3 linked regions of the Macaca mulatta genome follow. The protein of the gene in region 1 purifies or fractionates together with the protein of each later gene. This does not show direct contact. Links are inferred from orthologs where the notes say so. Each region holds a gene or a part of one and is shown in the gene's direction. Other genes may lie near its edges. The genes, in order: OCIAD1, MTCH2 and SLC6A8.

Region 1 (3,317 bases):
TGTGGCACATGCCTGTAATCCCAGCTACTCAGGAGGCTCAGGCAGAAGAATCACTGGAACCTAGCAGGCGGAGGTTCTGGTGAGTCAAGATCGCGCCACTGCGCTCCAGCCTAGGCAACAGAGTGAGACTCTGTCTTAAAAAGAAAAAAAAGAAAGCTTATGGTTGAAAACATTATTTAATGTATAGTTATGTTGCTTAGAAAATTCTAATTATTCACTGGAATCTTACCTTTGAGTTCTAAAAAAGTATCACAAAAATTATTTTTTAAAAAATTAATATTAAAATTATATGCCCAATTTATATGTCTCATTGAAAACATCTTTGAAAAATAGTACTTTTGGTGTGGTATGTGGTATGTAAGACTTTGTAAGTTAAATAGTTGTTCACTGAATGTTAGCAGCTTTTTTTTTTAATGTTCATATGGCCTTTGTTGCTGTTTATAAACTTTACAAACTGTGTTCACTATTTGATCCTGTCAGCCAATATTAGGAGGAACCACTGCATTATATTTACATTTGACCCTATGATAATATGTAGTATTCACATTTTGACTCTCTGGGAGAAATAAAGAATAAATTTTAATTCCCAGGCCAAAATAACAGTTGATACTTTCTTCTGCATTAATGTTGCATCTTTTAGACCAGAATGAAAACAATACATATTCTGATTAAAGGCTATGTTTTATACTTTTCAAGTAATTATTTTCAACTTTTTTTTTTTTTTTTTGGAGACAGATTTTTGCTCTTGTTGCCCAGGCTGGAGTGCAATGCCGCGATCTCGGCTCACTGCAACCTCCTCGTCTCTGGTTCAAGTGGTTCTACTGCCTCACCCTCCTTAGTCTAGGATTACAGGCGTGTGCCATGACACCCAACTAATTTTGTGTTTTTAGTAGAGATGGGGTTTTTTTCATTGGCCAGGCTGGTCTCGAACTCCTGATCTCAGGTGACCCGCCCGCCTCAGCCTCACAAAGTGCTGGGATTATAGGCGTGAGCCATTGTGCCTGGCCTGTTTTCAAGTATTTTTGTTTAAATTTCATAAAATGGTAAAATAAATGATTTTTGAAAATAGCTGGAGTTGTTTTCATAGAGTCTGTGGTTATAGGACTATTTAAGTATATATTGAGTAAAATCTGTACTATGTCAAGTGTTATTCAGTTGTCACTAGTAGAATATCTTTCTCTTTTAATTCTGTATACAGTATGACTAACTCCAGTTTAAAACACTGGTATTTTAATGAGTTTAAATTGTACGGTTATATATTATGATACCTATTTTTCTTCTGGCTGTGGTTTAGTTTTTAAAATCTTTGATGTCCATTTTAATTTTTAGAAATAAAAGCTTAAAAATATAGGCAGAAGTAGATTTCAGTTTGATAATTATCTTGGTGAAAGTATAGTACCTGTGAAATGGTGGTAATAATTTGATTCTTTATACTATTTTGATTGTAGGTAAGGAGCATTTGTAAAATTTAGTTGCTTTAGAGTTATACAAATCCTTTTATTACCATTTATTAACTGTTTGTTGTTTTAGGACCTGATCCCAACCTTGAAGAAAGTCCTAAAAGAAAAAATATTACATATGAGGAATTAAGGAATAAGAACAGAGAGTCATATGAAGTATCTTTAACACAAAAGACTGACCCCTCAGTCAGGCCTATGCATGAAAGAGTGCCAAAAAAAGAAGGTATGATAGTTTAGTCTGAATCACTTTACTGTTTAGGATTGGAAACTAAAACATTACTTTAAAACAGTACTATAAAAAATTAATTAATATGTGATTTAACTCTTCAAGCAGTTAACTAAAGTAAAATATTTTTAAAATAGTACTTTACAGTTATCTGTTCTTCCTCTTTTTTTTTTTTTTTTTTTTTTTTTTGGAGACGGAGTCTTGCTCTTGCTCTGTCCCCAGACTGGAGTGCAGTGGCACGATCTTGGCTCACTGCATCCTCTGCCTCCTGGGTTCAAATAATCCTCCTGCCTCAGCCTCCCAAATAGCTGGGACTACAGGCACCTGCCACCACGCCCAGCTAATTTTTTGTATTTTTAGTAGAGACAGGTTTTCACCATGTTGGCCAGGATGGTCTCGATCTTTTGACCTCATGATCCACCTGCCTCAACCTCTCAAAATGCTGGGATTACAGGCGTGAGCCACTGCACCTGCCAGTTCTTCCATTTTTAAGGTGTTCCAAAAGCCATTTTGTGTTAGAAAATACTGAAGTCAAGACCAGGCGCAGTGTCTCATGACTGAAATCCTAGCACTTTGGGAGGCCAAGTTAGGTGTATCACTTGAGGCCAGGAATTGGAGATCACCATGGCCAGCATGGTTGAAACGCTGTCTCTACTAAAAAAAAAAAAAAAAAAAAAATACAAAAAAAGGTATGGTGGTGCATGCCTGTAATCCTAGCTACTCGGGAGGCTGAGGCAGGAAAACTGCATGAACCCAGGAGGCAGAGGTTGCAGTGACTGACAGTACGCCACTGCGCTCCAACCTGGATGATGGAGAGAGGCTCTGTGTCCAAAAAAAAAGAAAATAATGAACTCCAAATAGTAAGACTTAAGACAGCAAGATTAGTTTTGTAACACAAGGTAGAGATTATACACTCATTTGACTGTTTTTCTCTTATAAAAAATCTCCTTGGAGATCTGATAGTCTTATTTTCCTAATGATACACCTATCACATAAGTTGCTGTAGTGACCTGAGGTTGGCATTGTGCTGTAATACCACTTGTGGCCTAACCACAGAATGATTGAGTAATGAGATTGATTTTCTTTGTACGTTTGGGTTTTTCTCTTGTTTATTTTTTTGTTCTGTGTTTTTTTGTTTGTTTGTTTTTTCTTTTTGAGATGGTTTTATTCTGTCACCCAGGCTGGAGTGCAGTGTTGTAATCATGGCTTACTGCAGCATTGACCTCCTGGGTTCAAGCAGTTCTCCTACCTCAGCTTCCCGAGTAGCTGGGACTACAGGTGTATGCCACCATCCCTGGCTGTTAAAATTTTTTTTTGGTACAGTGGGTTTTTCCCTATGTTGCCAAGGCTGGTCTTAAACTCCTGGGCTCAAGTGAGTCCTTTCACCTTGACCTTCTAGGATGCTGAGATTATAGGTGGGAGCCACTGTGCCTGACTTTTCTGGTATATTTGTGAAATTGAAAGAGTTATATACTATATACACCAGCTTCTAAGGCATTTCTTAAAGAGGAAAAAAGCAAAAAAAACTACTTTGGAAAAATAATTGTGAATTTTTAAATGCTGATTTCTTTTAAGTCTCTTTGAAATAGCTATACATCAGCCAAAGTAAATTTTTTGATATAAGTTTACCT
Region 2 (4,375 bases), on another chromosome or scaffold:
TCCTGCCTCAGCCTCCCGAGTAGCTGGGATTACAGGCACCTGCCATCATGCCCAGCTAATTTTTGTATTTTTAGTACAGATGGGGTTTCACCATGTTGGTCAGGCTGGTCTTGAACACCTGACCTCAGGTGATCCACCCAACTCGGCCTCCTAAAGTGTTGGGGTTACAGGTGTGAGCCACCGTGCCCGGCCAAACATCTGTATTTCAATATACAGTTTTTAAAAAAATCCTTTCCTATGCACAACTTCACTTAATGCTCATAATAACCCTGAGAGGTAGACAGTAGTGTTAGATTTAGATACAAACACTGGAAATTAAAGAGGCTAAAATGACAAATGGATGCAGTGGAAAAGCCAGGATCCAAATCCAAGTCTTTTCCCTGCGGTACTTCATTCTGCTCCAAGCTCAGATTGGCCAAATGTTGTTTGATAGAACACATGAGCTGGGGCTGAAGGAGCAGGGACAATGCCTTTTTCACTTTTGCCTCTGATAGCCTGTAGACCGGTAGGCACTGAAGTATTTGCTCACTTGTGCAATAAATATTTATTGAGTACCTTGTATGTGCTGGGCACTGAAAACACAACCGTGAACAAAGGCTGTCACGATTCCTGAACTCATGGAGCTTCCACTCCAGTGGAGGAGACATAATTTCAGTGATAATGCTACGACAGGGGACAATGTGGGAGAAAATAAGAGGGAGGTGGCCAGGCACGATGGCTCACTCCTGTAATCCCAGCACTTTGGAAGGCCAAGGTGGGTGAATCACGAGGTCAGGAGTTTGAGACCAGCCCGGCCATTATCGTGAAACCCTGTCTCTACTAAAAAGACAAAAATTAGCCGGGTGTGGTGGCAGATGCCTGTAATCCCAGCTACTAGGGAGGCTGAGGCAGGAGAATTGCTTGAACCCGGGAGGCGAAGGTTGCAGTGAGCTGAGATCACGCCACTACACTCCACCCTGGGTGACAGAGCGAGACTCCGTCTCAAAAAAGAAAAAGAAAAGGGGGAGGTAATTTTAGAATGGTCAGAGAAGGTTTTTCTGAGAAGATAACATTAATTAAACGAATAAATGAATGAAGAGCCACTCGCTAGCGGATTATTTGCTATACTTAAGAGTTTGTCAGCCACTAGACTGTTAACGGCTCTGATGCTGAATATCTTTTGAACCCTATGTTGATGATGCTCAAAAGGCAAGTGCAGAGGTGAAGCATAACGAAGAATCCTTTTCCATTTCTTTTCAGTCCTCTGACTTTGCCTTTGCCGTCAGGGTCACACTCCCCCCTCTGCCACTCCCTTCTGTTTCCGGACACTTGCGGCCTGGACGCGCATGTGCGAGAGAAACCGTCATTCCCGGAGGACGAGCCCCCGGCAGAACGCATGCGCCTGTGTACCGTAAGCCCCGCCCCGACCCCAGCGCCCCCTCGCGAGCGCCTGCCGTTTCTCCGGGCGGGAGGGGGGGCGGGGACTGGGCGGAGAGGCGCGCGCTGGTGCGTGCGTGCGCGCGCGCCGCGGGCGGGCCAGTGAAACCGGCGGCCCTGGCACGTGACCCAGGACCGGCTCACCGGGTCTCTTGGTGGCTCAGTCTGTCTGTCCGTCCGCGGGTGCCATCATGGCGGACGCGGCCAGTCAGGTGCTCCTGGGCTCCGGTCTCACCATCCTGTCCCAGCCGCTTATGTACGTGAAAGTGCTCATCCAGGTATGAGGCGTCGCCGCTCCCTACCCCTCCTGGCGCCCCGTTCGGTCGCTGCTGCTCAGGGCGCCTGAGGATCGGCTCAGCCTTGCGGGCCCTTCATTCTCCCGAGATGCTGCTGCTCCTCCGCTGCCCTTTCCCTCCCCGCAGGGACAGCTTCATCGGTCCCGCGGCCCCTCTTGGGGGCCTCTCCGAGCCCTCGCCCCGCTGCCCAGCGTTGAGGCCCACTCCTCCCTTAGCCAACTGCCACCCTGCCCTGCCCTGCCCTGCCCGGCGGATCCTCTGAACTTTGGTTCTTCTTCTCTGAGGTGGATCCTGGCCGGTTGCCACCAAGGGCTTCCGAACCCTCCCTCTCGCCCCTCCGAAATTCACATTCACCGCTCCTCCCCCCAAAATCTCAGACGCAAGACACGAAATACTCAGTTGAAGACAAATGTGAAGTTAGGTGGGAACCAACATTTTATTTTTTATTCCTTTTTTTTTTCTTTTCTTTTTATGCTACTGTTACTACTGCTTTTCTGTTCCGAGGTTTTCGCACCGGATAGCCAGAGAAACACAAGGAGCTCATTCAGAAGTGTTAATGAAGGGGTTGCTCTGTCAGATTTCGGAAGGATGCATTGAGCGCTTTCCAGCAGCAGCCCATGTGGCTCCTGACAATGAAAATCACATTGGTCAGAGCTGGAAATTAGTGAAGCGGAGTTTTAGCGAGTTTAAACATGGGAGTTAATCTCTAATCTACTGTCAAATAATTCTTATGTGGTATTTTATATTCACATGCAGGTAGGCCAAGTAAGTGATAGACTTAGTGTTTCCAGTTCCTTTCCTGAATATCCCTGTAACGGGCAGGTCATTTTTTTTATATGCTTTTACTGAGAGTTGACATAATTCCCTCATGCACTGTGCCTAGGAATGGAACAGTTTTTAGAACCCCTGTCTTGCCGTTTACTTTTCTATAAAAATTAGGCAAGACGCTAGAGAGGGCCACGTTTCTTATTCTTGAGTTGTTGGGAATCCAGATTATTTCTTGCTGAGTAGACCCGTGTGAATTCAGATTCTGTTCGTTAAACGCTATTGCAAATAAATGATTTGCACCTAGAACAAAGACTGATTAGAATGTACTGTAGGCCGGGCGCGGTGGCTCAAGCCTGTAATCCCAGCACTTTGGGAGGCCGAGACGGGCGGATCACGAGGCCAGGAGATCGAGAGACGATCCCGGCTAACACGGTGAAACCCCGTCTCTACTAAAAAATACAAAAAAACTAGCCGGGCGAGGTGGCGGGCGCCTGTAGTCCCAGCTACTCGGGAGGCTGAGGCAGGAGAACGGCGTAAACCCGGGAGGCGGAGCTTGCAGTGAGCTGAGATCCGGCCACTGCACTCCAGCCTGGGTGACAGAGCAAGACTCGGCGTAAACCCGGGAGGCGGAGCTTGCAGTGAGCTGAGATCCGGCCACTGCACTCCAGCCTGGGTGACAGAGCAAGACTCCGTCTCAAAAAAAAAAAAAAAAAGAATGTACTGTAACATCTAAAACAGAATTGGCACATTTGGGGCTAGATAGCATTTGAGATGACAGCATGTTGCAGTATATCCAGTAAGAACCCTTGGGCCCGGGTACGTTGGCTCATGTCTGTAATCCCAGCACTTTGGGAGGCCGAGGCAGGCGGATCACGAGGTCGATGTTCGAGACCAGCCTAACCGACATGGTGAAACCCCGTCTCTACTAAAAATACAAAATATATCCAGGTGCAGCGGTGCGTGCATGTAATTCCAGCTACTCGGGAAGCTGAGGCAGGAGAATCACTTGAACCCGGGAGGTGGAGGTTGCAGTGAGCCAAGATCATGCCATTGTACTCCGGCCTGGGCGGCAGAGCAAGACTCAGCCTCAGAGAAACAAAAAAAAGAACCCACTACTCAGTACTTCTCTGGGAGATGGGGTTTTCTAGTGATGTTCAGAGCTCTTGCCCCAAAAACTTTGAATACCCTTAATTCTGATTTCACAACATCTTTGTGTTGCCAAGTAGCCCAGGAGTTTTGGTGAAATTCCCAAATGCTCAGTTTTAAAAATAGTTACTTGGGCCGGGCACGGTGGCTCACGCCTGTAAATCCCAACGCTTTGGGAGCCTGAAAGAGGTGGTTCACCTGAGGTCAGGAGTTCAAGACTAGCCTGGCCAACAAAGCACAACCCCCTCTCTACTGAAAATACAAAAATTTAGCTGGGTGTGGTGGTGGGTGCCTATAATCCCAGCTACTCAGGAGGCTGAGGTATGATAATCGCTTGAACCTAGGAGGTGGTGACCTAGATCATGCCACTGAACTACAGCTTGGGTGACAAGAGCAAAATTCTGCCTCCAAAAAATAAATAAGTAACTAAATAAAAATAAAAATGGTTACTTGGTAGCACTATTCCTGTAGCACTATAGACAGGAGTTATTTATTTATTTATTTATTTTTGATACGGAGTTTTGCTCTTGTCACCTAGACTGGCATGCAATGGCACAATCTTGGCTCACTGCAACCTCCGCCTCCCAGGTTCAAGCGACTCTCCAGCCTTAGCCTCCTGAGTAGCTGGGATTACAGGTGCCCGCCACCACACCTGGCTAATTTTTGTATTTTTAGTAGAGACAGGGTTTCACCATGTTGACCAGGCTGGTCTTGAACTTCTGACCTCGGGTGAGATCAGAAGTTGGCCT
Region 3 (2,407 bases), on another chromosome or scaffold:
GCAGCATGTGGGAAGAGGGGGCAGATGGTGTGGCGGCCGCATCTCGCCTGCCTCTGCCTGGCCCAGTTCCACTCTCCACCTGCTCAGCCCCCACCTCTCTGCAGAAGAGGAGGGGACCCGGCCCTGATCCAATACCCCGCTCCCTGTCTGGGCCTCCCACACCTGCACTGCCCACACACGCACACAGCCCTCACTCCCCACATGCTCCACGCCTCCTGTCCCCACTGAGGAGAGCTCCCAGAGGCTCACCTGCTCCCGAACGACATGCATCCTGCAGACAAGGTGCCCAGAGAGCTTCCCCCCGCAATTGCCAGGGCTGCCAGGGCCCAGCCTTGCCCCTAGCTTCCTCTGGTGGGAGCCATGGCTCCGAGGAGAATGGGGACCTCTGAACATACCTGTCCACAAGGGGGACCGGAGGCGCCGGGAATGGGGGTGTGAGGGAGGTGGTGCCATGGCGCCCACTGAGCAGCCTGGCCCCCCAGATCGTGTACTTCACTGCTACATTCCCCTACGTGGTCCTGGTCGTGCTGCTGGTGCGTGGAGTGCTGCTGCCTGGCGCCCTGGACGGCATCATTTACTATCTGAAGCCTGACTGGTCCAAGCTGGGGTCCCCTCAGGTGAGGTGGAGGTGGGGAGGCTGCAGCAGGGTGCTGCAGGGGAGCCCTACAGGCCCCTCACGCCTGTGCTCACCGTACCTCCTCTAGGTGTGGATAGATGCGGGGACCCAGATTTTCTTTTCTTACGCCATTGGCCTGGGGGCCCTCACAGCCCTGGGCAGCTACAACCGCTTCAACAACAACTGCTACAAGTAAGCACCACCGCCCTACTACTGGTGCCCTGCCCTGCCCTGCCCTGCCCAGCAGCCTAACCCATCCACTCTGGCCCCTCCACCCCTCAGGGACGCCATCATCCTGGCTCTCATCAACAGCGGGACCAGCTTCTTTGCTGGCTTTGTGGTCTTCTCCATCCTGGGCTTCATGGCTGCAGAGCAGGGTGTGCACATCTCCAAGGTGGCAGAGTCAGGTAGGGCCCTACCCCCAGCCCCGCCTCCAGAGCAGCAACTGCCACCCAGATGCATGATGTACATGAACACACAATATAAATGCTGAAAAGTGACAAGGATTCAAACGGAACTTGTCAGATTGTGGGCCTGCGGGGGCAGGTCCTGGGATTTGTCAATGTTGACAGAGGGAGAAAGGACCTCCCAGCCCCTGCTGCACGACCCAGGGTTCACAGCTCCTGCGGCAGGAGAGGGCATGGGCGCGAGTGTTGCAGGCAGGGCTCAGGGTGCACACAGGGCAGGACGTCAGCTGCAAGGTCTAGAGCCTGCACCTTTCCCACAGGGCCGGGCCTGGCCTTCATCGCCTACCCGCGGGCTGTCACACTGATGCCAGTGGCCCCACTCTGGGCTGCCCTGTTCTTCTTCATGCTGTTGCTGCTTGGTCTCGACAGCCAGGTTTGCATGGAGCTCTGGGACAGGGAGCCAGGAGGGCGGCAGGGTGAGGGCTGCAGGCAAGGAAAGGGGTGGGAGGGTGGTGCGGGGCTCGGCCTGAGCTGCCCTGGCCACAGTTTGTAGGTGTGGAAGGCTTCATCACCGGCCTCCTCGACCTCCTCCCGGCCTCCTACTACTTCCGTTTCCAAAGGGAGATCTCTGTGGCCCTCTGTTGTGCCCTCTGCTTTGTCATCGATCTCTCCATGGTGACTGATGTGAGTGGGGTGGGGGGGTCTGCCTATGACCTCTGGTGGCCATCCGCCATCCTTCCCTGACTGGGCTCTGTCCCCCAGGGCGGGATGTACGTCTTCCAGCTGTTTGACTACTACTCGGCCAGTGGCACCACCCTGCTCTGGCAGGCATTTTGGGAGTGCGTGGTGGTGGCCTGGGTGTATGGTAGGTCATGGCTGAGGGCTGGGCTGGGGGATGGTGGCAGGGAAGGCAGGTCTCCAGCTCGGCCCTCCCGCCTCTCCTGTCGCAGGAGCGGACCGCTTCATGGACGACATTGCCTGTATGATCGGGTACCGACCTTGCCCCTGGATGAAATGGTGCTGGTCCTTCTTCACCCCGCTGGTCTGCATGGTAAGGGCTAGGGGAGGTGGGGTGGGGGGCGAGGCAGGGCGGGGTGGGGGCCCCATTAACCGCAGCATTCTGGTCCGTAGGGCATCTTCATCTTCAACGTTGTGTACTACGAGCCGCTGGTCTACAACAACACCTACGTGTACCCGTGGTGGGGCGAGGCCATGGGCTGGGCCTTCGCGCTGTCCTCCATGCTGTGTGTGCCGCTGCACCTCCTGGGCTGCCTCCTCAGGGCCAAGGGCACCATGGCCGAGGTAAGGCTCCCGCCTGGCCCACCCTCCCCTCCCCTGCTGTGAACATTCAACCGGGCCTGCTTCCTAGCCAGGGAGTGGCCCC

What was found.
Region 2: the proteins of OCIAD1 (region 1) and MTCH2 purify together in Homo sapiens (affinity purification with mass spectrometry; 3 studies listed by BioGRID and IntAct, with this or other methods). This does not show direct contact. The link is inferred for Macaca mulatta from reciprocal best matches to the Homo sapiens genes OCIAD1 and MTCH2.
Region 3: the proteins of OCIAD1 (region 1) and SLC6A8 purify together in Homo sapiens (co-immunoprecipitation; 3 studies listed by BioGRID and IntAct, with this or other methods). This does not show direct contact. The link is inferred for Macaca mulatta from reciprocal best matches to the Homo sapiens genes OCIAD1 and SLC6A8.

Annotation. Positions count from the first base shown.
Region 1 is NC_133410.1:48,365,900-48,369,216, forward strand, and holds part of OCIAD1 (OCIA domain-containing protein 1), read left to right. Parts: intron 1-1,530; coding exon 1,531-1,683; intron 1,684-3,317. UniProt on the Homo sapiens protein: Maintains stem cell potency. Increases STAT3 phosphorylation and controls ERK phosphorylation. May act as a scaffold, increasing STAT3 recruitment onto endosomes. Involved in integrin-mediated cancer cell adhesion and colony formation in ovarian cancer.
Region 2 is NC_133419.1:17,947,921-17,952,295, forward strand, and holds the start of MTCH2 (mitochondrial carrier homolog 2), read left to right. Parts: upstream 1-1,460; 5' UTR 1,461-1,607; coding exon 1,608-1,694; intron 1,695-4,375. Other genes in the region: AGBL2 (cytosolic carboxypeptidase 2), read left to right, coding at 1,240-1,247. UniProt on the Homo sapiens protein: Protein insertase that mediates insertion of transmembrane proteins into the mitochondrial outer membrane. Catalyzes insertion of proteins with alpha-helical transmembrane regions, such as signal-anchored, tail-anchored and multi-pass membrane proteins.
Region 3 is NC_133426.1:159,927,425-159,929,831, forward strand, and holds part of SLC6A8 (sodium- and chloride-dependent creatine transporter 1), read left to right. Parts: intron 1-482; coding exon 483-617; intron 618-704; coding exon 705-808; intron 809-898; coding exon 899-1,023; intron 1,024-1,343; coding exon 1,344-1,456; intron 1,457-1,569; coding exon 1,570-1,707; intron 1,708-1,785; coding exon 1,786-1,888; intron 1,889-1,973; coding exon 1,974-2,074; intron 2,075-2,154; coding exon 2,155-2,325; coding exon of another isoform or gene 2,326-2,363; intron 2,364-2,407. UniProt on the Homo sapiens protein: Creatine:sodium symporter which mediates the uptake of creatine. Plays an important role in supplying creatine to the brain via the blood-brain barrier.